Linked DNA regions of Mus musculus: all the other regions are reported to be linked to region 1. Evidence: microRNA targets listed by miRTarBase, many of them from high-throughput screens and not tested one by one. Region 1 holds a microRNA gene; each other region holds the end of a gene's coding sequence.

What was found. The annotated mature microRNA mmu-miR-3064-5p reads UCUGGCUGUUGUGGUGUGCAAA and lies in region 1 at 1,908-1,929, shown strand. An mRNA with a match to its seed (bases 2 to 7 or 8) in the 3' UTR can be bound and repressed. Matches are read on the target gene's strand: a 7mer-m8 pairs with bases 2 to 8, a 7mer-A1 pairs with bases 2 to 7 and ends in A, and an 8mer does both.
Region 2: miRTarBase lists Ndor1 as a target of mmu-miR-3064-5p. Seed matches in the 3' UTR shown: 8mer at 3,994-4,001 and 7mer-m8 at 3,229-3,235.
Region 3: miRTarBase lists Csf3r as a target of mmu-miR-3064-5p. Seed matches in the 3' UTR shown: 7mer-m8 at 1,973-1,979.
Region 4: the mRNA of Pigv is a reported target of mmu-miR-3064-5p. Seed matches in the 3' UTR shown: 7mer-m8 at 1,313-1,319.

The regions. Positions count from the first base shown.
Region 1 is chr11:106,777,567-106,784,664 of GRCm38, reverse strand. It overlaps Mir3064 (microRNA 3064), which reads left to right and starts at 1,906; the gene lies at 1,906-1,972. It overlaps Polg2 (polymerase (DNA directed), gamma 2, accessory subunit), which reads left to right and starts at 5,128. Exons shown (of 8, transcript NM_015810.2): 1 at 5,128-5,706. The coding sequence starts at 5,223. Ddx5 (DEAD box helicase 5) reads left to right here. Exons shown (of 13, transcript NM_007840.3): 9 at 141-251; 10 at 503-564; 11 at 647-706; 12 at 1,972-2,196; 13 at 2,409-4,309. The coding sequence ends at 2,815.
Region 2 is chr2:25,241,661-25,248,777 of GRCm38, forward strand. It overlaps Ndor1 (NADPH dependent diflavin oxidoreductase 1), which reads right to left. Exons shown (of 14, transcript NM_001082476.2): 10 at 6,972-7,086; 11 at 6,676-6,825; 12 at 6,462-6,580; 13 at 6,300-6,394; 14 at 3,153-6,194. The coding sequence ends at 6,050. Rnf208 (ring finger protein 208) reads left to right here and starts at 1,269. Exons shown (of 1, transcript NM_176834.2): 1 at 1,269-2,601. The coding sequence starts at 1,636. The coding sequence ends at 2,433.
Region 3 is chr4:126,042,388-126,049,504 of GRCm38, forward strand. Csf3r (colony stimulating factor 3 receptor (granulocyte)) reads left to right here. Exons shown (of 17, transcript NM_007782.3): 15 at 273-363; 16 at 517-598; 17 at 978-2,588. The coding sequence ends at 1,451. Mrps15 (mitochondrial ribosomal protein S15) reads left to right here and starts at 4,541. Exons shown (of 8, transcript NM_025544.2): 1 at 4,541-4,812; 2 at 5,047-5,091; 3 at 6,248-6,326. The coding sequence starts at 4,683.
Region 4 is chr4:133,655,975-133,663,090 of GRCm38, reverse strand. It overlaps Pigv (phosphatidylinositol glycan anchor biosynthesis, class V), which reads left to right. Exons shown (of 4, transcript NM_178698.5): 4 at 300-1,666. The coding sequence ends at 581. Among named protein-coding and RNA genes, the nearest start is that of Pigv, 13 kb to the left of the region's middle.

The DNA.
Region 1 (7,098 bases):
ATAAAGTGATACACCTGAAAATCTGTATGTGTGGTGGCTTAGTGGGTTTGACATTTGGATTCACTAAGCAAAAAATCAGGGTTGTGTTTGGTTTTGTTTTTATATCCTTTTAAAAATGGTGAGTTTTTCTTCATCTTTAGGCTTATTCGTCTGATGGAAGAAATCATGAGTGAGAAGGAGAATAAAACTATTGTTTTTGTTGAAACCAAAAGAAGATGTGATGAACTTACCAGAAAAATGAGGAGAGATGGGTATGTGGTTTCCTGAGTCAAAGCAGACTTAAAAGTACTTTGATCTGGGGCTAGTGTTTTTTGGGAATCATGCGCTGTGATATAGGGGTAATTGTATGGATTCGTTCCAGTGACTTGTAGTAGGCTCTGGGTTGCAATGCTTAGTGGGAAAACACTTGGCCAAGATGAAGTACAGTGGGAATAGATATTGGTAGAGTCTTGACAAGAGTTTTAAGTTGGGTATACTACTGATAATTTAATTCTTGGTATAGGTGGCCTGCCATGGGCATCCATGGTGACAAGAGTCAGCAGGAACGTGACTGGGTTCTAAATGGTATGTATTTCAAATAAGATTAGTTTGTAGCTTGATAACATCATTTGCTTGCATTAATGATTATTCATGGTTGTCTTTATAGAATTCAAACATGGAAAAGCTCCTATTCTGATTGCTACCGATGTGGCCTCCAGAGGGCTAGGTTAGTACAAACTCGAATTCATGGCTTGGTTTCCCAGAAGATCTCCATGTAGTTTTTTTTAAAGAAAGTTTATTGCTTTCTTTAACCTGCATTTTTTCTAAGTTTTTTTCACATAAAGGTGCAGTCTTTGTGGCAAGGCCTAGGCATGACAATCGGAGGACTCGAGGGGGATGGAGGACTAGTGATCGGCTGGCTGCTTCCAGTCGATTAGAGAGGTGAAAAGCTGAAAGTGTGCCAGTAATCTTCAAAGGGCAGAACATACCACCTCTGCCCCATAAACTGTTCTCTCCGGGGGAAAAAAATGGAAGTTACCTCACAGTTCACTGCCGTGGTATTTCATCTGTCCCATGCTTTGCATGATTGCCATGGTACAGCATTGTTTCAAACTGTTCACTGTGATCTGTGGGTCTTTGAGTTTCAGTGAGTTTGCTGAAATGTCGAAGAAATATTTCCAAACTTCAATGTTCAATGAAATTTTTGTTCAAGTTTGAAATGGAGAGAGCAGCTTTAAAAGCCTTTTACAAATTGGTGAGTACTGGCACATGAGACCTAGAGCAGGACCAACTTCTCACACATAGTCAGTGGGAAAAGAAAGTGCCTTGAAAGTTCCTCCCTCACCTACACAGTAGTCGTCATGTCGAGACCTGCCAGAGAGAGACACATTCTCAAGTGAATCCTGGCTTCTTGGAAGCGCTTGCCTAGACGAGACACAGTGCATTAAAACAACTTTTGGGGGACAGGTATGTTTTTCTTGCAGCTGCAGTTGTAAGGTCTTGGCAAGACAAGCAGTGTGGCCAGAGTTTTGAACTTCTGATGAGTGTAATGCAAAGGACCTTTACATTTTTGTTAAAAGGTCCTCAAAAATGAGCACATGAAGAGATTGCTGAGAAACTTTTAATTGGCCCTACTGCGCAGAAGCATTCAGATGTCACTTGATGATCTGTAAGGGGACTGTCAATTTGGGAATGTGCTAAGGAGAACACACATTCCCTTGATAGGCTGTCAGTGGGTGGGTGTTAAGACAGCTGACATGTGCAAATTTTTTTGTTGTTTTTTGGGTGTTTTGGTTTTTTTTTTTTCCTACCCTGCCCTTTTTTCCTACCTCAATGGTGTTCCTACAGGAAATGGATAACCATTTTAACTGTATTTTTTTCAGCCCGTACCTTCTTGGGAATACAATTGTCTAACTTTTTATTTTTGGTCTGGCTGTTGTGGTGTGCAAAACTCCGTACATTGCTATTTTGCCACACTGCAACACCTTACAGATGTGGAAGATGTGAAATTTGTCATCAATTATGACTACCCTAACTCCTCAGAGGATTATATTCATCGAATTGGAAGAACTGCTCGCAGTACCAAAACAGGCACAGCATACACTTTCTTTACACCTAATAACATAAAGCAAGTGAGCGACCTTATCTCTGTGCTTCGGGAAGCTAATCAAGCAATTAATCCCAAGTTGCTTCAGTTGGTCGAAGACAGAGGTTCAGGTAAGGATCTTCGTAAGAGATGTTTCTGGTAGGTGGCAGTTACCTCTTGTCTACAAAGTGGGATCGGAAGAATGAGTACTTCTTATTTTGAAACCTAAAGAATCTAAAAGCACTTAAGACCCAACATAAATAGAGCTATCTAACTCTCTCCTATCTTACCACACTTATGCCACAGATAAAAATTGATCAATTTCCACTTACTTTCTTGACAGGTCGTTCCAGGGGTAGAGGAGGCATGAAGGACGATCGTCGTGACAGATACTCTGCAGGCAAAAGGGGTGGATTTAATACCTTTAGAGACAGGGAAAACTATGACAGAGGCTACTCTAATCTGCTTAAGAGAGATTTTGGGGCTAAAACTCAGAATGGTGTTTACAGTGCTGCAAATTACACCAATGGGAGCTTTGGAAGTAATTTTGTATCTGCTGGCATACAGACCAGTTTTAGGACTGGTAATCCAACAGGGACTTACCAGAACGGTTATGATAGCACTCAGCAATATGGAAGTAATGTTGCAAATATGCACAATGGTATGAACCAACAGGCATATGCATATCCTGCTACCGCAGCTGCTGCGCCTATGATTGGCTATCCCATGCCAACAGGGTATTCTCAATAAGACTTTAGAAGTATATGTAAATGTCTGTTTTTCATAATTGCTCTTTATATTGTGTGTTATCAGACAAGATAGTTATTTAAGAAACATGGGAAATGCAGAAATGACTGCAGTGCAGCAGTAATTATGGTGCACTTTTTTCGCTATTTAAGTTGGATATTTCTCTACATTCCTGAAACAATTTTTAGGTTTTTTTTGTACTAGAAAATGCAGGCAGTGTTTTCACAAAAGTAACTGTACAGTGATTTCAAATACAATAAATGAAGGCAATGCATGGCCTTCCAATAAAAGATATTTGAAGACTGAATTAAGTGAAATTGTACTTTATTTTACATATATAATGTCATGTACAACTTGGCTTAGATAGTGTTTTTGGGGGGGATTTTTGTTTTGGTGTTTATTTTTACACAAGGAAAGTTGACTACTTCCCATTCCTGGATTTAGGAGAGGAACTCAGAAGGCCCTTAGGATGATCTGTTTGTATGGGAAGAAGTTAGAGACAATGGATTTTATAATTCCAGATTTATTGGATAAAAGCTTTGTCATTTTTCAGTATCAGGGAAGTAAGTCATTTAATAGCCTATTTTCCTTAAGAGTGAACTACAGGACAGTAACTATATAAATACATGTTGATTTCTTTTGCAAAACAGTTTTAAGTAATGACATTTTTGCTTTATCAAAATTTTATTCCATCTCTTGGTTTTGTTGTCAACTGCCGAAATGTGCGAAGCTGAAAGACTGTTAGCCCAAGAGCTGTGTGCACTGTGTCTTTAGTGCAGGATTACCTTGTAGGTTCCTAGTCCTCGAGGACTTGCCAGAGTGCTTATAGCCACACCTGGAAGTCAGGAATGTCTCCACATTATTTCAGGGGATTTTAGGGGTCTTGTAGGCTAGTCACAAGGAAGACGACATAACCAAAAGCACAGTAAAGTTTTCGGGTTAGGTTCACTATGGGCTTAACAGCTAGAAGGATTGGGGGGAAAGCTTTAGATTTAAGTAGGATCACCAGCAAACAGCTTTGTTTCAGAATGGCTATAAGTAGGTCTAAATGTCTTCCCAAAAAATTGGTGTGTTTTTTGCCCAGGACAAAAGTCTTAAAGGAAGTTATTTAACTTTTTGTTTTTAAAATGGGCTTATTGTTAATGCCTTATTTATAAAATGTTAAAACAAAATAGAATGTGCTGGGGGTGGGAGCTGGGCGTGTTTTCCAGGGCTGATAACATTGAAAACTGGTTCATCCTCTAGTACTGAGTGGTTTTCAATGGCATGGCTAGTCAGATTCATGATTTTTAAGTATAGGTGTAGATTGGAGCATTTATTACATATTTTACTGTTCAATGTCTTAATGTGGACCTTTTATTTTGTAAATAATTATGGAAATGATTGTGGGGCTTGGAAAAAATTACCTTTGAAGTTTTAAAAGACAGTCCACTTTTTAGCATGTGTGTTGTGTCCAGCCTGTGGTTGTCTTAACTAATAAATGTGATTTTTCTCCCCATTCTCTTCATTTATTTATTCGCGTAGAGGCCTCTTACCTGGGTTTTTGCACCCCCGCCTTCCCCATTCCAGCTATCCTGGAATTTGATACATAGGCCAAGCTGGCCTTGAAGTCAGAGATTGTCCCTTATGCATATGTTAACATAGGAGTGAGCTACCACAACAGTCCTGCACCTTATAATCAAACTCCAGTATCAAAAACACCCCTTTGTCCTAGTCAGGTATTAACTGATTTCTACGAGAAGGGAAGTACAGAGGTTAAGAGCACTGCTCTTCCAGCAACCATACGGTGCCTCACAACCACCTGTAGTGATGGCCTCTTCTGGTGTGTCTGAAGACAGCAACTCACAAATCTTTAAAAAAAAAAAAAAAAATTCTTTTTAAGGAGGTGGTTAATAAATTCCCGAAGCCCTTTTTAAGACCTGGTCACCCTGTCTGTCCAGCCACACCCGGGAGAGAGTGGAGTGGCCATTGGTGATAATGTTTGCCAGCATTAGTATAAACTAAAAGTGCACAACACATTCCCTTGGAGACTGAACGCTAAGCCTCACATCAGTACCGTCCAGGACAACATTTTGGAAGGGGTTTTTTTCGTTTTGTTTGGCAGCTCGGAAAACCTGATGCTAACTCTATAGTAACAGGATTGTGGTAAAAGCTAAACAAGTGAATGTGAGGCAGGTGGAGTTACCAAACGGAAAATCCCAAAGGTAGTAAACAATCAGACGCTGGCGTCAGCCGCGGAGGCCGGGATACGCCCAAGGCGGCTGCTGCTCAGCAGCGGGTGACGCTCTTCCGGGGGCGTGGTCTACAGCACGTCCATTTCCGCTGTGCCTGCACCCCAGGCCCTGGTGCTGGTGTAGGTTTGAAACTGCGGCTCTGCACGGGAGGTGCTGGTGTTCCGACTCCTGAAGCGATGCGCTGCGGTGGCGGCGCCAGGGCCTGCCGCAGGGCCTGCAGGTGCTGGCTGTCCGGGTACGCGGGTCCCGCAGATGGGACGCAGCAGCCTGACGCCCCCGAGCATGCGGTGGCCCGCGAGGCGCTGGTAGACCTCTGCCGGAGGAGGCACTTTTTCAGCGGGACGCCGCAGCAGCTCAGCACGGCTGCTCTGCTGAGCGGGTGCCACGCGCGCTTTGGACCTTTGGGTGTAGAGTTACGAAAGAACCTAGCCTCACAGTGGTGGTCCTCTATGGTGGTGTTCAGGGAGCAGGTCTTCGCGGTGGACTCCCTCCACCAGGAGCCGGGCTCTTCGCAGCCGAGGGACAGTGCCTTCAGGTTAGTCTCTCCAGAAAGTATACGCGAAATCTTGCAAGACAGAGAGCCGAGTAAGGAACAGCTAGTGGCATTTCTTGAGAACTTATTAAAAACTTCTGGGAAACTACGGGCGACTCTTCTTCACGGTATGGCTCTTCGCGTTTCGTGCTTCTGAACAGATTTGGGGTGGAAAAGCAGTCTTGCACGAGTTTGGAGACAGCAACGGCCCTAGGCTTCCAGGCAAAGAAGTGACCAGGTTCCTTTTTTTTTTTTTTTTTTTTTTTTTAATAACATCAGAGTGATCCACCTTGAGGCAAAGGTCCGAGGCATCATTCCTGAAGAAATTTGTAAAGCATTCAGTTTGACGAGCAAACCTAAAACTATAGAGGTAGGACCTTATATAAATCAGTCACATGCTTTCATTGATACCAAGGCATTTTCAAAGACTTCCTCTGTTCCAGTTTTAAATACAATTATCAACTCAGGTTTTTCTTTTTTTTTTTTTTTTTTTTTTTTTTTTTGAGACAGAGTTTCCCTGTGTAGCCCTGGCTGTCCTGGAACTCACTCTATAGACCAGGCTGGCCTCGAACTCGGAAATCTGCCTGCCTCTGCCTCCCAAGTGCTAGGATTAAAGGCGTGCGCCACCACTGCCTGGCAACTCAGGTTTTTCTTGGTGTTTTTTGTTTGTTTGTTTGTTTTTGGTTTGTTGCTTTGTTTTGTTTTTTTTTTTTTTGTGGGGTTTTTTGCCAGGTAATTTTTTAGCTTGTCAGCTAGAAGATGAGATACACATCTTTAAAGTCAAATATAACAAATTCGGAAATGCTGCCTCTGCCGTTTAGCAGTATGGAGTAGCTAACAACACCTTACAAATCCAAGCTTGTGAAAATTAGTATATACTGTAACCTTAAATTTTTAAAGCAAAATAAAGCAAGCCGGTGATAAATGCAATTAGATTGTAGTATATTTTATCCTGTATTCTTGGTATTGATTGATTAAACAGTCTCACCATGTCCCCCAAACATCAGCTGTTTTTTACCTCTCAGTCTTTTAGATCAAAGTTGCAGACTGAAAATGAGATTTTGAGTTCAGTGTGGATAACATGGAAGTCAGTTCTCTCCTCCTATCGTGTGGGTCCTGGGGATAGAACTCAAGACTTCAGGCTTAGCAGCAGCTGCTTCTACCAGCTGAGATGTCTTTCCAGGTTTAAGGATTTTTTTTTTGGTTTTTCGAGACAGGGTTTCTCTTTGTAGCCCTGACTGTCCTGGAACTCACTTTGTAGGCCAGGCTGGCCTCTGCCCCACACTTGGTTTTTTTCTTTCTCTCTCTGAAGATACTGGACTGTTCTTTTGTTTCTTCTTTTGAGAACCTGATTTCTTTATCTCAAGTTTACCTTGAAATCAGTCTGTAGCCCAGGCTTGCTTCAAAGTGTCAGAGTCCTCTTGCCTCCACCCCTGAGTACCAGGATACCAAGTGCTGGGCTCAGAGTTCACTGCTGGTTTCCCTAAGTGAAATAGATTTATATGATCGGTTTGTTTCTT
Region 2 (7,117 bases), not on the chromosome of region 1:
CGCGGACTGCCAACCTATACCTGGTATTTCCAACTCTCCATCTCCAGTCCATGAAACTTCTGAGCTTCCTGTGACTGCCCCAGTTCCCTGTGACCACTCTTCTGGTATCCACTCAAACCCTTGTCCCTTTTGCTGTCCCAACTCCCTCTTTGACGAATCCTTGTGTGGATACGTCAGTGAATTGGAAAACTCCCGGCGTTCACACAGGGGGTGTGTCGGGGTTTGAAGTTAAAGGACCCTGCCCTTTCAGAGCTCGAAAGGTAGCTGAGACACAAGTGGAACGCTGGAACCCCTGCTCGGCATTGTGAGGCTCAAAATGAGGGAGTAAAACATGAAGATTTCCCTTACAAAATTTGGGGGGGGGGGAGGGTTTGGCCCCTCGGGGGATGAGCCAAGAGGCAAGGGAATCTTGTCGGCACGGGGATTCTGACCAGCCGGTAGCTAGCTGGGAGGTCGACACTGGGAGCCGACGCCAGACCAGGCGTAGATCGAGGGGCGGCTAGGAGACTGGCCCCGCCCCGTGGACCCCGCGCGGGTCCCCAGACAGGGGGTGGCGCTGCGGGCGCGGGCGGGCGCCGCGCGCACTGCGGTCCCCGCGCCTCCGCCGCAGAGCGCGCCACGCTCCGCACGCACCTGCCGCCGCCGCCGTCGCCGCTGTCGCCGCCACCACGCCGAGCCTTGCGTCCAGCACCAGCGCTCGCGCCCTGGGTGCTGTCTGCGCCCGCCATCGCCCGAGGTCTCCACTGGAGCCGCGGGAGCTATCGGAGTCACTAGAGCAAGGTGTGAGCGCCGCATCCGGGCCTGCCTTTGAGACAACCTCTGCTGCGGCGGCGGCGCAGCCGGGGAACGCCAGGCTGGGGCAGGTGAGCGGGGGTGGGAGGGGGAGGGGCGGGGGCCAGAGACATCACCCCTTTCCATTTTCATAGTCAGTCCTCCGGACAGTGAGTCCGGTCTCGGAGAGTATACTGGGGAGGGGGTTGCGTTCAGAGTTCCGTGGAGATCCCACGGATGAGGTCAGGGTCAGAGGTCGGGCACTCTGTCCTTTGTGAAGGATGGGGGCGAGGGCAAGGGCGAGAGTGAGGTGGGCCCCGTGCTGCCCTCACGCTGTCTCTCACCCGCAGCTCAGGCCTGGTGCAGGCCTCTCCATTGCTGTTGCCGCGGAGCCTTCAGCCCAGGTCCTCTGGCAGCCAGGGATCAGGCTAGCTGCCTTCCCTGGGCGCCCTGTCCTGGAGCCATGGGGCCCACCTAGCCCCTGCCTGCCCAGATGTCCCGGCCCAGGGACTGCTGACCTCTGCTACAGGAGGAGGCCCCTCCACGCCCCCTTGCCAGCTTCAGCAGACAGAGACCCTGGGTGAGCTCCAGAGCCCCAAACAGCCACCCATACCCCCTTGTCCCCGCCTGCTTCCCCCTCCCCCTCCTCTTCCTCCTCCTCTTCGGACTGAATCAGATAAGCCATTGTGGCCACTGGGAGGGGGGTTGCCCTCCAAGCTGTCACCGGCTGCCCCTTGCAGTCCACAGAGTAACCGTGGTCCTCACCAGGCCTGGCAGGACCAGGATGCAGCCCCTTCTCTTCCCCCACGGCCCCACCCAACACCCCCACCTGTGCCAACGTCCAGTCTGACTGTAGAGAGCCGGATGCCAGCTGACCCTGGGCCTGAGGTGGGCAGTGGATGGCCGGGCCTCCTCATGTCCTGCCTGAAAGGCCCCCATGTCATCCTCAAAATGGAGGCCATGAAGATTGTCCACCCTGAAAAGTTCCCTGAGCTCCCGGCGGCCACCCCCTGCTTCCCTCCTGCACCCAGGCCCACTCCCACTCTGGCACCCAAGCGTGCTTGGCCCTCAGACACAGAGATCATTGTCAACCAGGCATGTGGGGGGGACATGCCTACCTTGGAAGGAGCATCCCACACTCCACCCTTGCCAAGGCGGCCCCGCAAAGGCAGTTCTGAGTTGGGCTTCCCCCGGGTGGCACCAGTGGATGAGGTCATTGTAAATCAGTATGTGATTCGACCTGGCCCAACAGCCTCTGCACCTTCATCGTCTGGGCCAGTGATAGCAGGTGAGCCCCTGGAATGCCCCACCTGTGGGCATACATACAACGTCACTCAACGGCGGCCCCGTGTGCTGTCTTGCCTGCACTCCGTGTGTGAGCAGTGCCTGCAGATTCTTTATGAGTCTTGCCCTAAGTACAAGTTCATCTCCTGTCCCACCTGCCACCGTGAGACTGTGCTCTTCACTGACTATGGCCTGGCTGCACTGGCTGTCAACACATCCATCCTGAGCCGCTTGCCACCTGAAGCCCTGACTGCCCCATCCGGTGGACAGTGGGGGGGTGAATCTGAAGGCAGCTGCTACCAGACCTTCCGGCAGTACTGTGGAGCTGCATGCACCTGCCATGTGCGGAACCCACTATCTGCCTGTTCCATCATGTAGTGTCCACCTGCCCACTACTGCCTGCAGGTCCTTGCTCGCCGCTTCTTCAGGGAACTGGCTTTGTCCTGTTGCCCGCTGACCCTTTCTTGCCCACTGTGGCTTCTGGCCCTACCCTGCGTGGCATTGTCGCTGCAGCCAACTTTGCCATTAAAACTCTTTGCCAAAGTTTGCACTTGTTCACTGATTGAAGCTAACTCCTGTGGGCTATGCCCATGCCTGGACCTAGGGTAGGTTCCCAAGGCTATAGTCCAACATGGTCTAACCAGGAGCTGCCAGAGGGTGAACCAGCTCCATTCAAGGTTGGCTTGCTCTGCTTGTGGAAGGGCAAGCTGGCCCGAGTGTACTGCTTAGGAGGTCTGGACTAGCTGGGAACACACTGGTACATGGAGATGGGGCCCAGCTAGGGAGACAGAACTTTTAGCTGTGTGTGGTGAAGTTCATTGGTAGTCCCAGCACACTGGAAGCTAAAGCAGGAGGGTTGTGAAGTCGGCATGGGTTGCACAAAGAGATCCTGTCCAAAAAACCCACGTACTTTTCTTCTGGCCAAGGATGTATGGAAACAGCCTCTGGACAGCATATGTAGAGGCTTACAGTTGGCTACGACCAAGGACCCAGCAGTCTTTTAAATGATCTGCCTATGACTGGAACAGGTACCATTGAAGGGTTGTGAGGAGAGTGCCTGGATGGCAGAGATGGAGTAATAATGAGGATGGCAGAGGTAATGATAGAATCAGTAACAACTGTTTATTGAGAACTTTTTTTTTTTTTTGGGAGACAGGGTGTCTCTGTGTAGCCCTGGCTGTCCTCCTGGAACTCGCTCTGTAGACCAGGCTGGCCTGGAACTCAGAAATCCACCTGCCTCTGCCTCCCAAGTGCTGCGATCAAAGGTGTGCGCCACCACTGCCTGGTCTGAGAGCCTTTCTTATGCTTGTTATATAGGACTCAGCCTGAAATGTTACACCTTACATTGTGTCACCAATGAGCCATGAAGTGAGCTTAGATTTGTCTGCATCTCCCAAGTGAGGGCTCCTGGTCCAGTGACATGAATTGCAGAGTCAACTAGGAACAGAGCTAGACCTTGGGCATTTGGAGGCTTCAGGGTCTGGATGGGCCCTTGCAAAACAAAGGCAATATTGATCCCAGCTCCTCTGGGCTACCTTCTCTGGTGAGAGTAGCTTAGGTTGGGTGGGAGCTTTTGAAGGCTGGCTTGTGCAGTGCAGGCCTCTCCTGGTAGTTACTGTGGCTGCTGCTGTTGCCTTCAGGACACACACCAGCTTCTGTCTGGTGCAGGTGAGAGTCTGCAGCCCTTGCCTTCTCCAATGAACAGATCTCAGGATAAACAGAATCACTGTTGGAATCACACATTTGTGTCCACTCTCACCAGCTGGACTACGAGCTGGCGGTATAGCCCAGCTTCTGCCTGTGGCCAGTGAGATGACCGCCCATGGCAAGCACATAGGGTTCTTTTCACAACTCTTTCTGCCAGGCCAAGCTCCTTCAGAGGCTGTCCTTGTGTCCTTGGCTTTAGCTAATATCTAGGCTGCAAGGGTGTGTAAGCACTCTGGCTGGCGTAGGCTCTTAGGCATGTATAGTCTTGGTATTGGTGATAACAAGTCTTTGCTGATTACCAGAATCCAAGCGTGCATGGACTTCAAAGCTTGGCCAGCATTCTGGGCTCTGCTTAGTGGGTGGAACGGTCTAGCAGCATGAAGAGCACCCCTAGTAAAAGGAGCGGCATGAAGATGACCACCAGCCCGAGCAGTTCAAGGACCAGTAGGCTCAGCAGTGACAAGCGGCGGGCACAGGGGCCACGTTCCCGTAGTGCCCACAACCAGGTGCCTAGGCTGGGAGGGCAGGGCAGGAAGGGGAGACAGCTTCGCCCTCCCACAGGCCCTGCCAGGAAGCGCAGCTGGTAGCGGTGCTCTAAGGGACCCCAGGGCCAAGGGCCAGGATGCAGGGCTGTGACGGATGCAGTCCGCATTGGGCGCTGGGGTCCATCAGCTCGAAGCAGTTCCTCCTGCAGCTGACAGATCTCCCACTCTAGCATAGGTGTCTTCTGACGACACAGTGGACAGCACACACGGCCCAGGTCAGCTCTGGGGGTCATGCCTAACAGCTGGTGTAGGCAGCCCACACACAGGCTGTGACCACAGTTTAGCAGGGTCAGGTGGTGCTCACTAGGCCCATAAGGCTCAGCACAGATGGGACATTCCTCCTCCTCCACAACCTGCCCCTCACCTTCCTGCTCTTCCACAGTTGACTCCAGGGCCCTGGCAGCGGATGGGTCTCTGGCCTCCAGTTCCGGTTTACTGTCTGGAGTTCTGGCACCCAGAGGGGCCCTGAGATCATCCTCTCCATCTGCTGGTAGCTGGCACAGTGGGTCCAAGAGCTCAGGACCCAGAGAAGCACCGGGTGAACTAGTAGACACAGAGCTGGTGTCATTAGGTCCCAGGTTACCACTAGAACAGAGGTCAGGATGCGTAGACGGAGACTCCAGGATGACTGCAGGGATTGTTGTAGATATGAAGGTGTGGCCCTCAGGAGCCAGGCAGAGCTTGGCCTCCACCCATCCACCTGAGCACTAACCTCTAGATAACCCTTTCGGCTTGCTGACCTCACTGGAAGTAAGCTTCACTTGGGTCCCCGCAGCATGTCAACTCTTGGTATCTGAGGCCTAAGAGTGGTGTTGGTCTGGTCCCTGTTTTCCACAAGCTGACAGACAGAACCGAGGTTCCTTAGCGCCCAGCTGCCCTTGGACCTGTCTGACTGCTCCAACAGGGTTTCCTTCCCAGCAGTGGAGGCCCTGCCCATGGGCGGGCCAACACAAATCACACCCCCTCCACCTGATCATTCTTTCAGTTCTTTGGAAAGAATAGTGCATGCTGGCTCTTGGCTGGGACTTCCAAATAAATAGCTCTCTAAGCCCTCTCTGCTTGGCCATGAGAGAAGGGTATATGAGCTTGGCTGAGTTGTGTGGCCATCAGAGAAGGGGACTAGCTTGGCTAAACTGTCAGTACAAGCCTGTGCTCATGCCCTGGAGGGCTCTTTGCCCACCACTAGCAGATGCAGATAATCCATGTCCCAACCACCACTCTCAAATCTAGAAGCAATAAAAGAGAAGTGAGCGGCTACCCAGGCAGTTAACTCATGTTTATGGACCTGCAGACAGACAGATTTGCCCATTCCCAATGCTCAGGAGACTTGGTCCCTGGTGGCTTTTCAACTGAGCTGAGCTGCACAGGTGTTATGGGACTAATGGGAATAGCACGGGGTCAGACGGGCAGTGCAGCCCGCACAGCTCTATGTCCTTTGGAGGGCTTAGCAGGCCCTTGGTGGTAGGGACTATAAATGCAGATTTGGGGCAGAATGAAGGGGTCTGAGAGAAAACCAGGAGTTCTAGCTGCACCGGGGCTGGGCCTACGTATGGGACACTGGGTTCCACTGAGTTTGGCTGTACGCAAGGACTGCCCTCCTGGTCAGCTGGACCAAAAAAGCGAAACTGTGGGTCTACCCAGTGTTCTGGGATTAGAAGGCAAGAGGTAACAATGGGCCTTCTAGACTCCAGCAGGCTACCCAATGCAGCTGTTAATGTGAGTGTGAGCTAGCAAGTGGCTCCTCAGGCCCAGGTTTCAGTCTGGAAGCGCAGTGTCTGCTGGAGCCTAGCAAGGTAGGCAGATGCATCTGCAGTGGAGAGTCGTCCTTCTTCTTGAAAAATGGACATAAGGGCTTCCGAAACATCCGTAGGCAAATATTTAGCATTGCTGGAAAGGCAGGCCTCAGAAAGCTCAGTGATCCCGATTCCCAACCCTTACTACTACCCTTCCCTAAAGGCTGGTCCACCCCCCGACATTCCCAAGTTTGCTCACCCTGCTAGGTAGAAGTAGGCACCTTGGCCATCCAGCAGCTCCCAGACAAGTGGCCCCAGCTCTCGAAGCCGGTGCTGCACATATACCTTCTGCTCCTGCAGGTGTCAGAGGCTAAGTTTCAGCCATCCCAACTCCTGTCCTATCTAACTTGAATATACTCACCTGCTCCCGGGAGAAGGCTGTAACCAGGGTCAGCCAGCCCTTCTGCTCTAGCTTCTGCCATTCAGTCTGCCAGTAGAAGTCCTGATCCCGCTGGCGGCAGCCAAAGAACAAGAAGTTTCCTGGGGTACATAGGGCGGTCCCCGTCTGGATGCAGAAATTCAGCTAGACCAGGCTCAGTGGTCAGGTCACACTGCTTTGGAGCTCCAGTACTCACCAGTTTGGCCATGAGCCACTCGTTCCTGAATGGCTGCTCGGAAGGGGGCCACACCAGTTCCAGCCCCCACCATGATAATGGGTGTGTCTGGTGTTTTTGGGAACACGAGGCTCCCAGGACGTACCCACAGAGGCACCCGGACAGGTCCTGCTGCAGAAGGGAAATGGCATGTAGGAGGTCAAAAGACAGTGCTAAGGTGCTAAGTGCTTGAGCTCCTGGGGTAGCAGGAACAGGGGAAGATGGGCACTTGAGGCTATACTCTCTCCCAACCCCGAGCCCCAGAACTATGGATTTACCTTGCCCAGGATTCAGGGATGCTAGCCAGGAGGAGCAGAGACCATGGCGGGGCTCCTTCAGACGAGTCTGGTACTTTACCACAGCCACAAGGATCTGTAGCCTCCTGGGATGAGCCTATGGACACAGTGATGGCACTGCCCTGCTA
Region 3 (7,117 bases), not on the chromosome of region 1:
TTTCGAGGCAGGGTTTCTCTGTATAGCCCTGGCTGTCCTGGAACTCACTCTGTAGACCAGGCTGGCCTCGAACTCAGAAATCCGCCTGCCTCTGCCTCCTGAGTGCTGGGACTAAAGGCGTGCGCCACCACGCCCGGCTTTAGATGTTATTCTTTAGGAACCTTTCAACCTGCCAACATTTGACTCTCTCCACATTCAGCACCACTGAGTTCATGACCCACAGTGGAAAAGCCACACCCTAAACTCTTCTTGCTTTCTGTCTCTCACCCCAGATCCATCTGACTTAAACATTTTCCTGGGCATACTTTGCTTAGTACTCTTGTCCACTACCTGTGTAGTGACCTGGCTCTGCTGCAAACGCAGGTGAGTGGCTTCCTTTTACCCATGGGTGCGGAAGTCCCTTCCTGCCTTCCCAGACTTCCGGGCCCCAATCTGGGAGGTCTGTCCTAACATCTCTTCCCCTCTTCAGCTGCCAGATGGCAAGCTGACCCAAACTTCACTTGTCTCCTTCTGCAGAGGAAAGACTTCCTTCTGGTCAGATGTGCCAGACCCAGCCCACAGTAGCCTGAGCTCCTGGTTGCCCACCATCATGACAGAGGTAATCATGAGGCAGAGAGGTGTATAAACTGTGACTGGCAGACAAGGCAGCGTCATTAAAGGAACACACACCTGAGCCCCACTTCCAACCAGACACACACACACATTCTGCTTTGGAGAGATGTAGGCCTGAGTTTGACTCTCCAAGATTGGTCACCTCACTACACAATGGATGCGTGGGTGGCAGAGGGTGGGTTGGGCTGGGGGTCATGTGTCAGGGACATGGTAGGAATGGACAGCTGCCAGGCAAGTATGTCCCTTTGTGCTCTGCCACATAGCAACAAGGGAGATGCCATAACTACCTCATCTCTGGAAGGAACGATGTGTGGAGCAGACATGTGAGACAAACCATGCCGTATTGTGTATATCCCTGTGTTCAGGAAACCTTCCAGTTACCCAGCTTCTGGGACTCCAGCGTGCCATCAATCACCAAGATCACTGAACTGGAGGAAGACAAGAAACCGACCCACTGGGATTCCGAAAGCTCTGGGAATGGTAGCCTTCCAGCCCTGGTTCAGGCCTATGTGCTCCAAGGAGATCCAAGAGAAATTTCCAACCAGTCCCAGCCTCCCTCTCGCACTGGTGACCAGGTCCTCTATGGTCAGGTGCTTGAGAGCCCCACCAGCCCAGGAGTAATGCAGTACATTCGCTCTGACTCCACTCAGCCCCTCTTGGGGGGCCCCACCCCTAGCCCTAAATCTTATGAAAACATCTGGTTCCATTCAAGACCCCAGGAGACCTTTGTGCCCCAACCTCCAAACCAGGAAGATGACTGTGTCTTTGGGCCTCCATTTGATTTTCCCCTCTTTCAGGGGCTCCAGGTCCATGGAGTTGAAGAACAAGGGGGTTTCTAGAACTTTGGGGGTCCTTGTATCTTGAAGACCCTGCCCTATTCAGAGGAGAAGAGCCCTCCGCTGAAATCTACTGGCCCTGAGAGAAGCAGAAAGGCCCAGTGTGTCTCTGTCTCTGGCCCCTAGCACCTCTCCTCTACTCTGAGCTTCTCAGGCTATACCCTGAGGTCACCCACTCTCACACTCTAAGGTTCAGATAGATACTGCTTACAGCCCAATGGTCACCATTCGTCTTTCATATAATTTCAGTCCATTGAACTGATTGTAGGTTTTGAGTTGGGGCTGGTATTTTCAGAAATTCTGGCTGGACGTGGTGGTACATGCCTAGCATCCCAACATCTGGGAGGAAGATGCAGGAAGATTGCAAGTTCCAGGCCAGCCTGGGCTAGCCTACATAGTGAGATCCAATCTCAAAAATTATGCTGGGTGTGGTGGTGCATGCCTTTAATCCCAGCACTCGGGAGGCAGAGGCAGGTAGATTTCTGAGTTCGAGGCCAGCCTGGTCTACAAAGTGAGTTCCAGGACAGCCAGGGCTATACAGAGAAACCCTGTCTTGAAAAAAAAAATTAAGCAAAAGCTGAATAAATAAAGTTTTTTTTATGACATGTACTTGTTTTGTGGGGAGTGGGGATTCAGAGGCAGAGGTCAGAAGACACCTACCTTGTGGGAATTAACTCTGGTCTCCAGCATGTGGATCTTGAGAAGTGGACTCAAAGCTTAGTGACAAGCACCGCGTTACCCATGGAGGCATCTTATTGGTCCCAGAAAAGAATCTCTTGAGCATAGCTTAAGTGTCTTCTACCCTTGTTTGTTTTTTGTCTCTGCTTGCTTGTTTTTCTTTTTATGTATTATAAATAAGTACAATGTTGCTGTCTTCAGACACACCAGAAGAGGGCATCAGATCTCAATACTGGTGGTTGTGAACCACCATGTGGTTGCTGGGATTTGAATTTAGGACCTTTGGAAGAGCAGTCAGTGCTCCTACCCGCTGAGCCATCTCTTCAGTCCAGTTTATTTGTTTTTCAAGACAGGGTTTCTCTGTGTAACAGCCCAACCTATCCTGGAACTTACTCTATAGATCAGGCTGGCCTCAAGATCCACCTGCCTCTGCCTTAAATGCTGGGAATAAAGGTGTGCACCACCACCAGGAAGTGGCTTTCACTTTCAGGGCCCAACAGTCAAGAAGGTATTTCTCAGAATCATTTATCTCCTCCCTTCCTTCCTTCCTTCCTTCCTTCCTTCCTTCCTTCCTTCATCGGTCAGATTTTATTTTATTTTACATGTCTGAGTGTTTTGCTTGCGTGCATATCTGTGCCTCACCTGTATGTCTGTTATCACGGAGGCTGGAAGAGGGCTATCCTGGAACTCACTTTGTAGACCAGGCTGGCCTCGAACTCAGAAATCTGCCTGCCTCTGCTTCCCGAGTACTGGGACTAAAGGCGTGCGCCACCACCACCTGGCTAACCTGGAGCTCCTGGATTCAGCTATCCAAGGAGCCAATGAGCTCCAGGGATCACCTACTCAACTTCCCCGAGCCCCTGTACTGTACACGCAGCTGCTGGGATCTGAACTTGGATGTTTATGCTTACACAGTGGGCACTCTACCAACTGAACCATCTCCCCTGCCCCTCCCCTTTTTGAGACAGGGTCTTATGTAGCCCAGTCTGGGCTCAAACCAGCTATGCAACCAAGGATGACCTCGAACAACTTTTAATCCTCTTGCCTTCCATTCCAAAGTCCTGGGGTCACAGGCATATGCCACTACACCCAGTTTTTACGTACCACTGGGAATCCAACCCAGGACTGTGCATTCTAGGCAGGGACTCTGCTAACCAAACCACATCTTCAGTTGCCTAATGTCATTTGAGTTTCATGTAACCACATTTGTCAGGATTATTCCCTGTGCTAATGGAGACCTTTCCACAAAAGCCTTGCCTGTCTTGGGTCTACTTTCCCCGGCCCTGATCTCAGGCTTGGGATGGTGTGTTCTTTCCTTGCCCCTCTCTTTACCCTCCCCACTACTTTTCCTTTATATTTGCCCTTGCATCCCTCATTTCAGTTTTACCACAGCTGAGTACCGAATACTGACTATTTAAACATGTGTTTTGTATACAGCTGCTTCGGTCTATAGGCTGAACAATGTAAAAGACATTGCTACCAATCTCATTTGATGTTTTGAGAACACTGCAGCCCATAAAGGTAGACTTTGCCCACAGGGTCTCATAGTAATGGCTCAGTACCCTACCAAAAACTCTATCCTTAGTCACTGAGATACAAGCCAACGAAAGAAGGCTAGAACCTGAGGGTTCTTACAGGGCCCCGGTGTCTGGAGGAGGGCCAAGAAAGAATATTAGCCTCTGGAGAAGGTAAGGAGAGTCCCACAGAAGCCCTAAAATAACTAGGACCTAAGACAATGGTTCTCTTTTTTTTTTTTAATTAAAGATTTATTTTATTTTATGTATATGAGTACACTGTAGCTGAACAGATGGTTGTGAGTCTTTTTTTTTTTTTAGATTTATTTATTGTTATATGTAAGTACACTGTAGCTGTCTTCAGACACTCCAGAACAGGGCATCAGATCCCATTACAGGTGGTTATGAGCCACCATGTGGTTGCTGGGATTTGAACTCAGGACCTTAGGAAGAGCAGTCAGTGCTCTTAACCGCTGAGCCATTTCTCCAGCCCCAGGCAATGGTTCTCAACCTTCCTAATGCAGAGATACTTTAATACAGTTCTTCATGTTGTGAAGACCTCTAATAAAATTATTTCCGTTGCTAGTTCATAACTGCAATTTTGCTACTATTATGAATTGTGATATAAATATCTGATATGCAAGATATCTGATGTGTGACCCCTATGAATAGGTCGCTCAACAACCTTCACCCCCCATGTGTCTTGACCAACAGGTTGAGAACTGAGGACCAGGTCAGGAACATAAGGAATTTAGAAAGTGATTAGGCCGGATGCAAGGTCAATAGGTGACATTATAGCGTTCACACAGTGCTCCGGGCCTGTAAGCGTAGAAACAGGCCCGCCCACCAGGCCAAATTCCTGGGCTCCGCCCCAGCTCCCTGACAATCCGGAACCGATCCATTCGCTCAGCCCTCGGCAGCTCTTGTCGCGCTCTCACCTCGATTGGTCGAGCCCGAACCGTCATGGCTGCGCCCATGTAACCTGGATCCACCGCGGAGCGGGCAGTGGCGGTGCGGGCCCCCCGTCGAGTCGGGAGTCAACATGCTGCGGGCCGCGTGGCGTGCGCTGAGCTCTGTTCGTGCCCAGGCGGTGACACGGGCCCCAGTCCCTGCGCTGAGGGGCGGAAGTAGCGCCAGTCTGCTCTCTGCGCGCTGTGGCCTGCAGCCTCCGAGTGAGCCGCCGAGCTGGGTCCCAAGGGACTGGGCGAAGATGGAGGAGACCAGGCACCCGGAGACCCGAGAAAGGCAGTGACAGGATGAGAAAGAGGGTGATGGCTAGGGAAGGGGTGATGAGGAGGGAGATAGGGAAGTGAGGCGGTAGTTAGGTGCAGGTGCCTACAGTTCGTGGGAGAAGGGACATGAGGGGCTGTGTATGGCAGAGTCTCAGCCCTTTCTATTCTGCGTAGGTCTACTGCGCGCCGCGCGAGCATACGCCGCCGTCCAGAAACCAGGTACGAGGACTTGGGTTGTTGAGACTTGAGGCCGCCTGGAAGGCTTGGGGTGGACAAGGGAACAGAGGTGGCGCGCAAAGGGACAGGCCAAGACCCCCCCACATTCATTGTTTAGGGGTGCACGAGAAGGTAGAAGTAAGAGCTTTCGCGTGAAAGCACTCACTCATTTGACAATACAGATCACCAAAAGCTCCGCCTCGTTGTGTGCATCCCTACTGTGTCAGATGAGAGTGAGGTCGAAGCCCGAGGTCCAACCCAGTCCAGCTTGGCTGGACCCAATGAGTGTGTGGCTGGCAACACTAGCAAGAGTTACAATTCTAGGAATGTAACACTTTTTATCTGCTATTCTGAGAGGAAGGATGAAGTTTCCCATCCTAAGTTAGCATGCCTTAGGGCCCTCTAACAAACACATACTATTTGAGGCAAGTTTGCTTTTTTTGTGAACCAGCGCTGAAATGAGTGTCAAAGGATCCATTGGAACACAGTTAATAGGATTCAATCATGGCAGCGGTATGAAAAGCACCCTTAACCCCGTGCACAATAAACTGTGATATCATAGTCTTTATTGCTTCTAGTGTCCTTTGCATAGTGGCAGGACAGAGTCTGGCTTGAGAGGATAGATTATCTTGGTTGCGCTGGACTGGGTTGGACTACAGGCTTCAACCTCACTTCCAGTGACATAGTAGGAATGCACACACAGAAGCCGAGCTTTTAGTGATGCGAACTGGCTATTGACATTCCCTTAAAGCTAGCAGCACTTCCTCTCACCCTGTACTTCATTCATGTGGTCAACCAGCAAGCTTTGTTAAAGTGCTACTTCTAGACTAGACTATGGACTAGGCTGGGGAATCGAGGAGTTAAAGAGAAGCCAAACTCACTCCTGTCCACGGGAGAACCGATCCCAGTGAGGAATCTGATAACTGTAGAGCCAAGTCGGTTTGTGTTGCAGGCACAGTGGATGTCTTGAGAAAGGCCCCTTGTTTGCAGCATGCAACATGCAGGTGCCCACAAGGCTTGCAAAAGAGAAACTGAGCTAACCTAGTTTGAGACCCTTAAACCCTTAGGTACTTGCCACAGATTCGGGGAGTGAGTGAGAGGGATGGAGCCTGGGAGGATGGGAGTTCACGCTGAGTATTTTCTATCCTGTATTTGACAGTCCAACCCAAGCAGGACGATGAACCACCCTCCTCTGCGTTCATCAAAGAATACAAGGACATCATCCCCAACATAGAGAAGTAAGTGGAAAGCAACGTGCTTGTGGGTACAGGCGTTCCTGGGAGGATAGACAGGGAGTAGAAAAGGGGTGACCTAAAGACTTGGCCTGTTGTACTTGAAACTGGATTCTGTGGAGCCCTGGATGTGAGCACTGATGAGGGCCGCAGGTCTGATGGGCTCAGGTGGCCAGCTGGGCACCCGCTGCTCACAGAGCTCAGCTCGCCTTTTGTTTCTGGTACTCTGAGTGAAGACCTCACACTAACAGAGGCCAAAGAACTAACATGCTCTGCTGGTCTTGGTAGAAATCTCTCTTCTCAGGCTGGAGAGATGGCTCAGCAGTTAAGAGCACTGACTGCTCTTCCAGAGGTCCCGAGTTCAATTCCCAGCAACCACATGGTGGCTCACAAACATCTGTAATGGGATCCGATGCCCTCTTCTGGAGTGTCTGAAGACAGTGACAGTGTACTTATATACATAAAATAAATAAAATTAAAAAAAAAAGAAATCTCTCTTCTCTTGACTTCACAAAAGCTTTGTAAGAGAAGAAATTGTGTCCTGTTTGTATAAATGCTTTGTGTTATACAACTAAAAGACAGAGCTAGGACTAGAATCCAGAACTGACAGACACCAAAACCAGAGTCCCTCTGCTTAGCCCCTCTACAGTGGACTGGCTCCATCCTTCCTTACTGTGCAATCTGGCTGTGTCTATCTGAGGTGGAAATCCTTCCTTTGCCTTCCCTGAGACGAAACCAGGACATTCGAGCCAACAACCCCAGTTGTCTGGCTGTCTTCAACCCAACAGACCAGAGCT
Region 4 (7,116 bases), not on the chromosome of region 1:
TCTGATAAGGAGCCTCCAGGTTCCTACTTCCAAAGCAGACTAAAATGTAGAGACTGTGGGTAAAATTAGACCTCAGAGAGACCTTTTAGTATTGGTTGGCCCGTTAGTGTGGTAATTCCACTGAGACTGGTTGTTGGGAACACGAGGTTTGTCTGGCATCGGCAGATTAATAACATTCTCGGTATTAGGCAGATCTGCAGCTTTTGCTGAACTTGCTTTCCCAGTGGGATGTTGTTCGTTGTCAGGCCATGATTGACCCAGCCACATCACTGATGCTCCAACCAACATGGCTTTTCTAGGTTCTCACGCGGTTTTTGGCCTCTTCCACTCCTATCATGTACTGGTTTCCAGCTCACCTGCTTCAGGATCAAGAACCGCTGCTGAGGTGTGTGGACACAGAGCCTGGGAAGCTTCCTCAGGAGAAGTCCCCACCAGGACAGAAGGCCCCCAGAAACTGTCTCATGAAACTCTTCTACGATTGGAAGAGATGCTCTCCAGTCACAAGATGCGTTCTGGTCTACTTCCTGACCTACTGGCTTCTGGGACTAATTCTCCATTGCAACTTCCTGCCTTGGACTTGACCTGGAGTGTCAAGGAATGAAAGCTCTAAGACGACACCCTGGCTGGGACAGCCCGCACACTCCGGAGAGCACTGTGCAGTAGGATCTCTGGGTCTCTCTGGGGGCCAGCTAAGAAGGGAAAATGGGAGCACAGGCGCCCCTTCTCATCCTGGGCGGGGCAGGTGTAGGGGAGTAACTTCAGTGCTCAGTGCAGGGGTCTCAGATCTCCCTAGTCCACAAGTACTAGGCAATCTTAAACCTACTACTGATCCACGTGTAAGTCTGTCTTCTTGTTTTTTGAGAGAAGGTTGGTTTCTCTACATTGCCCTGGTTGTCCTGGAACTCACTCTGTAGACCAAGTTTATGTAGACCAGGCTGGCCTTGAACTCAGAGATTCATCTGCCTCTGCCTCTTGAGTACTAGGCCCACCACTGAGTGTGAGCCACCCCTGCCTGGCCTGGTGGATAAATTTAAATGTTTGATCAAAGCACAGGCCAACAGCCTGCCCCACTCAGGATGGTGGAGTCAGTGCAGTGTAGTGACAGAAGGAAGAGGGGACAGACAGCCTGCTCTAAGTGAGAGGTTTCTGAAGGTGGTTGTTTTCTTTTTTTTTTTTTTTAAAGATGTATTATATTATATATGAGTACACTAGCTGTCTTCAGACACACCAGAAGAGGGCATCAGATCCCATTGCAGATGGTTGTGAGCCACCATGTGGCTGCTGGGAATTGAACTCAGGACCTCTGGAAGAGCAGCCAGTGCTCTTAACCACTGAGCCATCTCTCCAGCTCCCTGAAGTTTTCTTTATGATACTGGTGTGTGTGTGTCTGTGTCTATCCTACAGACTGTGAAAATCTAAATACTCCTTTTGCAATGAATTACCTTTTTCTGGAGGAGGGGTAGTCAGGGGAGCTAAGACAAGGTCCCTCTGTGTAACTCTGACTGTCCTAGAACTTGCTTGCTATGTAGATCTGGCTGGTTTTGAACTCAGAGATCCTCCTACCTCTGCCGAACTAGTTTCTATAAATTATAGAGGGTTGAGGCTAGAACTCCGTAGTAAAGCACACGAGGCCCTAATTTCAGTAATAAACACCACTTGGATCAGAGCACAGGGTCTGAATCTTGGCTCCCATTCCTCACTTTCCAGCTGTATGATCTAAAGCCACCTTCAGAGCTTTTGCCTTCTCTGAAATTAAGGAGGAGACTTCTTCCCTGGGGTGTGATTTAGGCCTTAAATCTTGAGGCTACCTTAAACAAAAGATAAATGGAGGCTCACAAGTGGTCTAATGGGAAAGTCCTCCTTTGATCAATTGGAAACAGCCTCCCCCCCACCTCTGGGAACAACTCGGAATAGAAGCTGTCGTGGAGAGTAATGACACCTGGTGGAAAAGGGTAACCCAGGGTGACTGGTTTTCCATTCTCAAAGATCACACTTGCATGAGTCAGAGGCACCTACCCCACAGCCTTGATGGGGGAACCTTGTAGCTAAGTCAGTCCAAGGTTGTCTACTGTAGCATCTGCCCTGCTTCCTGGCTCCCTGTGGTTACTAAGAGTAACCCTGCCCCTGAGGAAGGATGACTCCAGGATGCTGAGGCTTGAGGTGAGCTTGAGGGCAGCTACAGAATAAGACCCTGTATAAATGAAAGACAGTGTCCCTGCTGCGCAGCGTTTGTGCATTCTTGAGCCAGGTAACTTTGGCTCGGTGTCACCATCCTTACTCCCCATTGGGCCAAAAATTCCAATAAGCAGCATTCTTCAAAACAGATGGCAGTCAGCAGTGGCTTCTGGAAAGCTCGGAGTTGGAATTTGGACACACTCCCTCCGACCGTGACAGAAAGCTCAACTTGCCAGCTGAAGGGAAGCTCCTGGCCCAGGCCCAGCACCCTCTGTGGGAGCCTCCAGCCAGCCTGGCCAACGAGCATTCCCACCCAGCACCACAGCACTAGCACAGCCAAGCATTTGGTCCAGAGTCAAATGCTACTGAAAATGTACACACAGATTGGGGCAGCCCTCTGCCTTCTGCCAAGACACCAAGTGCCCTTCTTGGCAAAAGACAACACCTCTCCCCTAGTGTGTCCCTCCAGCTGGCAGACTGCAGCCTCTTCCCCAGCAGCTGCAAATCCTAGGACTCCCCCTCCCCCTCCAAAAAAAAAAAAGTGCGTGGGAGGAGCCGGGATCCTTTGGTCTCCCTCTCTGCTCCACTTTGCCTCCGTTTGGAGGGTAACCAGAAGTGATTGTTCCTCTCCTGGGAGAGGTGACTCACCCCCTACAGAGCAGCTTCAGTCTCCCCTGTTTTGTCCCTAGAGCCATCACTGAAGAAACCCTACACCTGGGCACCCCGGCTAGGTAAGCACACCTGGAGAAGGCCGGGCTTCTGGCCTGGGAGGCTCACGGCTCAGCTTGTAAGGAGCGGGCTGACTTTATGACCAGCAGCTGTCCCTTTACCGGCCTATTAACAGTCTTTAATAGTCTGAAGGAGGACCGTGAAGGGCCCAAGGCCGGAGCTTCCTGTTTCCCCGAGGTCTAAGAATGCCACAGCTGGGTGGGGCGGCCACGGTTTCAGAGAAAAGTCATTTCCTTCCAAGACCCTGCTAAAATACAAACCAGACACTCTGAGGACCCAGAAGTGGATGTCTTTTTGTTCTTTAATGGAGGTGGGAAAAGGGGAAGCTTTGGCGGGTCTCTAGTAGTCCCACTGGGGTGGGGCAGCGGAAGTCTGGGTCTAAAAATGTAAAGTGTGGAGGCTTAAGTTTTTAAAAGGATTCTTTTCACCAGTTGTTTATTAATGCCTGTTTTGGACTAAGGCAGGCCTAGCCACGCCTCCTGTCCTCAAGTGTTGCTGGCCAGTGCACCGGAGCATTCATTAGGGAAGTGGTAAATTCTTTAAAAAGCAACATTTTAGTGTGTGTGTGTGTGTGTGTGTGAGTGTGTGTGAACATGAACATCCTATAGCCCACGTGGAAGTCAGCATTGCCCTCTTGTTGAGTCTTAGTTCTTTATTATGCTGTCCTTAAAACTGGGCATGTCAGGCCTGAGGACAAGTCCCTTCCCCCACTGAGCCCTCTGAGTGCTGGCCCAGAAGTAGCAAATTCTGAGGCATAAAGGACATGTTTTGCTATCTTTCTACTTAAATTTTTTTTATAACGAGGATGAATTAAAGTTTTAATTTGAAGATGGTGTGGTGCACACGTGCAGTCCCTGCCCTTGTGAGATGGAGCAGGAAGATTGTGAAATCTAAGCCTACTGTGGTGCACACCTTCAATCCTAGGACTCGGGAGGCAGAGGTAGGGGGGATCTCTGTGAATTGGAGGCTATCCTGGTCTACAGAGTGATTTCCAGGACATCCAGGGCTACGTAGTGAGGCCATGTCTCAAAACAAAACAAAACAAAAAGAACTGGAAAGATGTCTCGGTGGTTAAGAGCCCCAAGTCCTGTTTTTGTAGGGGACCCAAGTACAAGACCCTATCACTGTAGCTCCAGCAGAGACAACACCAGGAAACCTTGACAACCTGCACTCCTGAGCACATTGCACATAGGAACACAAACACTCTTAAACTCCATGGCCTAGAGAAATAGCTCAGTGGTTAAAAGTGTTAGCATTCTGTCTAGGCTCCACCCCACAGTGACCTGGCAACAGCCAGGTGTGCCTGACTCACTATAAAAGGGGCTGCTCACCGCCTGGCCCCCCACTGTCTCTTGCTCCTGCCTTCTTGCTCCCTCTGTTCTCTAGCCCCTCCCCCCACATCCCTCCCCCCACCCCTCCCCCTCTCTCCCTGCCTTTCTCTGTCTCTCCTACCCTCTCTCTTTTTTTCCCCCTCAAAGATCTTATTTATTTTATGTATGTGAATACACTGTCGCTGTCTTCAGACACACCAGAAGAGGACGTAGGATCCTATTACAAATGGTTGTGAGCCACCATGTGGTTGCTGGGAATTGAACTCAGGACCTCTGGAAGAGCAGTCAGTGTTCTTAACCGCTGAGCCATCTCTCCAGCCCCCTCTACTACCCCCTTAACTCCCCTCCCCAGGCTCTGAATAAACTATTCTCTACTATACTGTGTGGCTGTTCCCTCAGGGGGAAGGGATGCCTCAGCATGGGCCAGCTGAGGTACCCCCTTCCCCCATACCTTAACCACACTTCCACCAATTCCCTCTTTATCTTTTTATAAACAACAAAAAGTGTTTACTGCTCTTCCAGTGGTCTATGTGGTTCCAAGCACCCTTGTTGGGCAGCTTAAGACCTCTGGTAACTCCAACCCCAGGGACTCTGACATTCTTTTTAGCTTCCTTGGGCTCCTGAACACACATGGCATACACTCACTCAGATACATATATACATAAGAATAAACACATCTTCAAAGAGTTGAAAGCAGCGAGTGAGTATATTATCTCCCCCCATGCCCTAGTTAGCATTGGCAGCACTGGGGGCAAACCTGTCAGGCCAGCTAGGTAGGCGCTGTGCTGTACTGGTGAGCTACATCCCCAGCCAGAGAGTGACTACAGCAGATGGGAAGAGAATCAGGGAAGAGCGCTCAGCTTGAAGGGAGCCAAGGAATTACTCTAAGATCTGGCTCCAGAGCCAACCCACTGTACACTAAAGCTGTGTGAGCTCACTGAACTCAGCCTGACTTCTCTCATCTGTCCCCGTGCCTACGGAGTTCTTATCCATAAACTCAGCCATCCCTTATGGGAAGGTAAATGTTACTTCTGGATATTTTGAGACATCTCATAATAGTTCTTATTGACCTTGAACTCTACATCCCCCAGACTGGCCCAGAACTGTCCATCCTCCAGGTTGAGATCATACATGCATGTACACCACCGTACACATCAGAGATCGTTGAATGGGGTAGGTTTTTAGTCTCAGAACTTGGAAGATAGAGGCAGGCATATTTCTGTTAAGTCTATGCCAGCCCGGTCTATCTAGCAAGTACCTGGATAGCCAGGCTTACATAGTGAGACTGTCTCAAAAAAAAAAAAAAAAAAAAAAAAAAGAAAGAAAGAAAGAAAGAAAAGAAACACTTGAAAAAAAAGAAATTGATCAGTACTGAGTGTTGTGTTTTATAAAAAAAAGATAAAGAAAGGAGGAACATGTTTTGCAGAGGTGTAGTCAGGTAAGAGGGGAGGGGGTGCCTCAGCTGGCCCATGCTGAGTCATCCCTGCCCCCTGAGGGACCAGCCACACATAGTATAGAATAGAGATTATTCAGGGCATGGCAAGGGAAGCTGAGAGGGTGGTAGAGACAGAGAAAGAGAGACTGAGAGAGAAGAGTAGAGGCCAGCCCCATGAGCACGAGGAGGAAGGGAGGAGGGAAGGGGGCGAGCCGACAGAGTAGGAGCAAGAAGGCAAGAGCTAGAGAGAGCAGAGCAGCCCCTGTTACAGTGAGTCAGGCACCTGCTGTTGCCAGGTAACTGTGGGGTGGAGCTTAGACTGAATGAGTATATTAGACCTTTTCCATTACTTCCTAAATAACACAGTACAACTGTTTATATACCACTTACACATTATGGATTATAGACGTGTTTCAAAGGTGCAAGAGGGTTTCTTACATAGGTTATTTACAAAACCTATGTCATTTGTATTTTTGTACCTGGGGTTCCCTTCCTAGACCCTGGGGACAGTTCTTTGGGTCACTGAGGAATGACTGCACTGAACATAGATAGGAATAACATAGTCTTACAGAATAATTGTAAAAATTAAATTTTGACACATGACAAATTTAGGAAAACGCTAACAAAAGAATAGCTGGGTTTTGGAGTGTATTGTGCCGTCGGCACTTCACGTGCTGGGACAGTGGACTCTCAGAGGCTAGGATGAGTGGAGAGGCATCCGCACAGTGTTTACTGCAGTGGTGTTGGGATGGGAGAGATGAGAAAGAAGGCACTGTGGGGCTTTGGGCAAATGGCTGGCCCTCTCTAGACCTGCCTTCTCATCTGCATGTGGAGCTCACTCAGGCGTAGCTGCTCCTCAAGGCCCCTCAGGGAAGGGAGGAGCACTCACAAGCCTTCTTGGGAGGGGCAGTGCAGGGTCCTTCCCTCCCTGGGGATATGTAAGCCATTAATGCTTACTGGAGGCATCGGGGACCTGCCCACACTCCTGTTGGCTGACTAATTAAACTGATGGGTTCACCAAGCTCAGGTCTTTGGTTTGCTGCAGGTGCTATGTCTTCCTTAGGTAGGCAGACAGACGTGTGTGCTCATACCTCCCTGGGGAAAGCTAACGTAACAGGCTGTAAGGACGTGGCAGCTTGGGCCCCACAGAGTCATCATGAGAGCAAAAGAGTGCAGTGGAGAGCACACAGTGACAACATCATTGCCATTAAATGACAAATAACATTCCCGGAAGGGGGAGAAGAAAGGAAGAAGAGCTGCAGAGATAACTCATTCTATAAATATGCTTGCCCGCAGGGCTGGAGAGATGGCTCAGTGGTTAAGAGCACTGACTGCTCTTCCAGAGGTCCTGAGTTTAAATCCCAGCAACCACATGGTGGCTCACAACCATCTGTAATGGGGTCTGATGCCCTCTTCTGGTGCATCTGAAGGCAGCTACAGTGTACT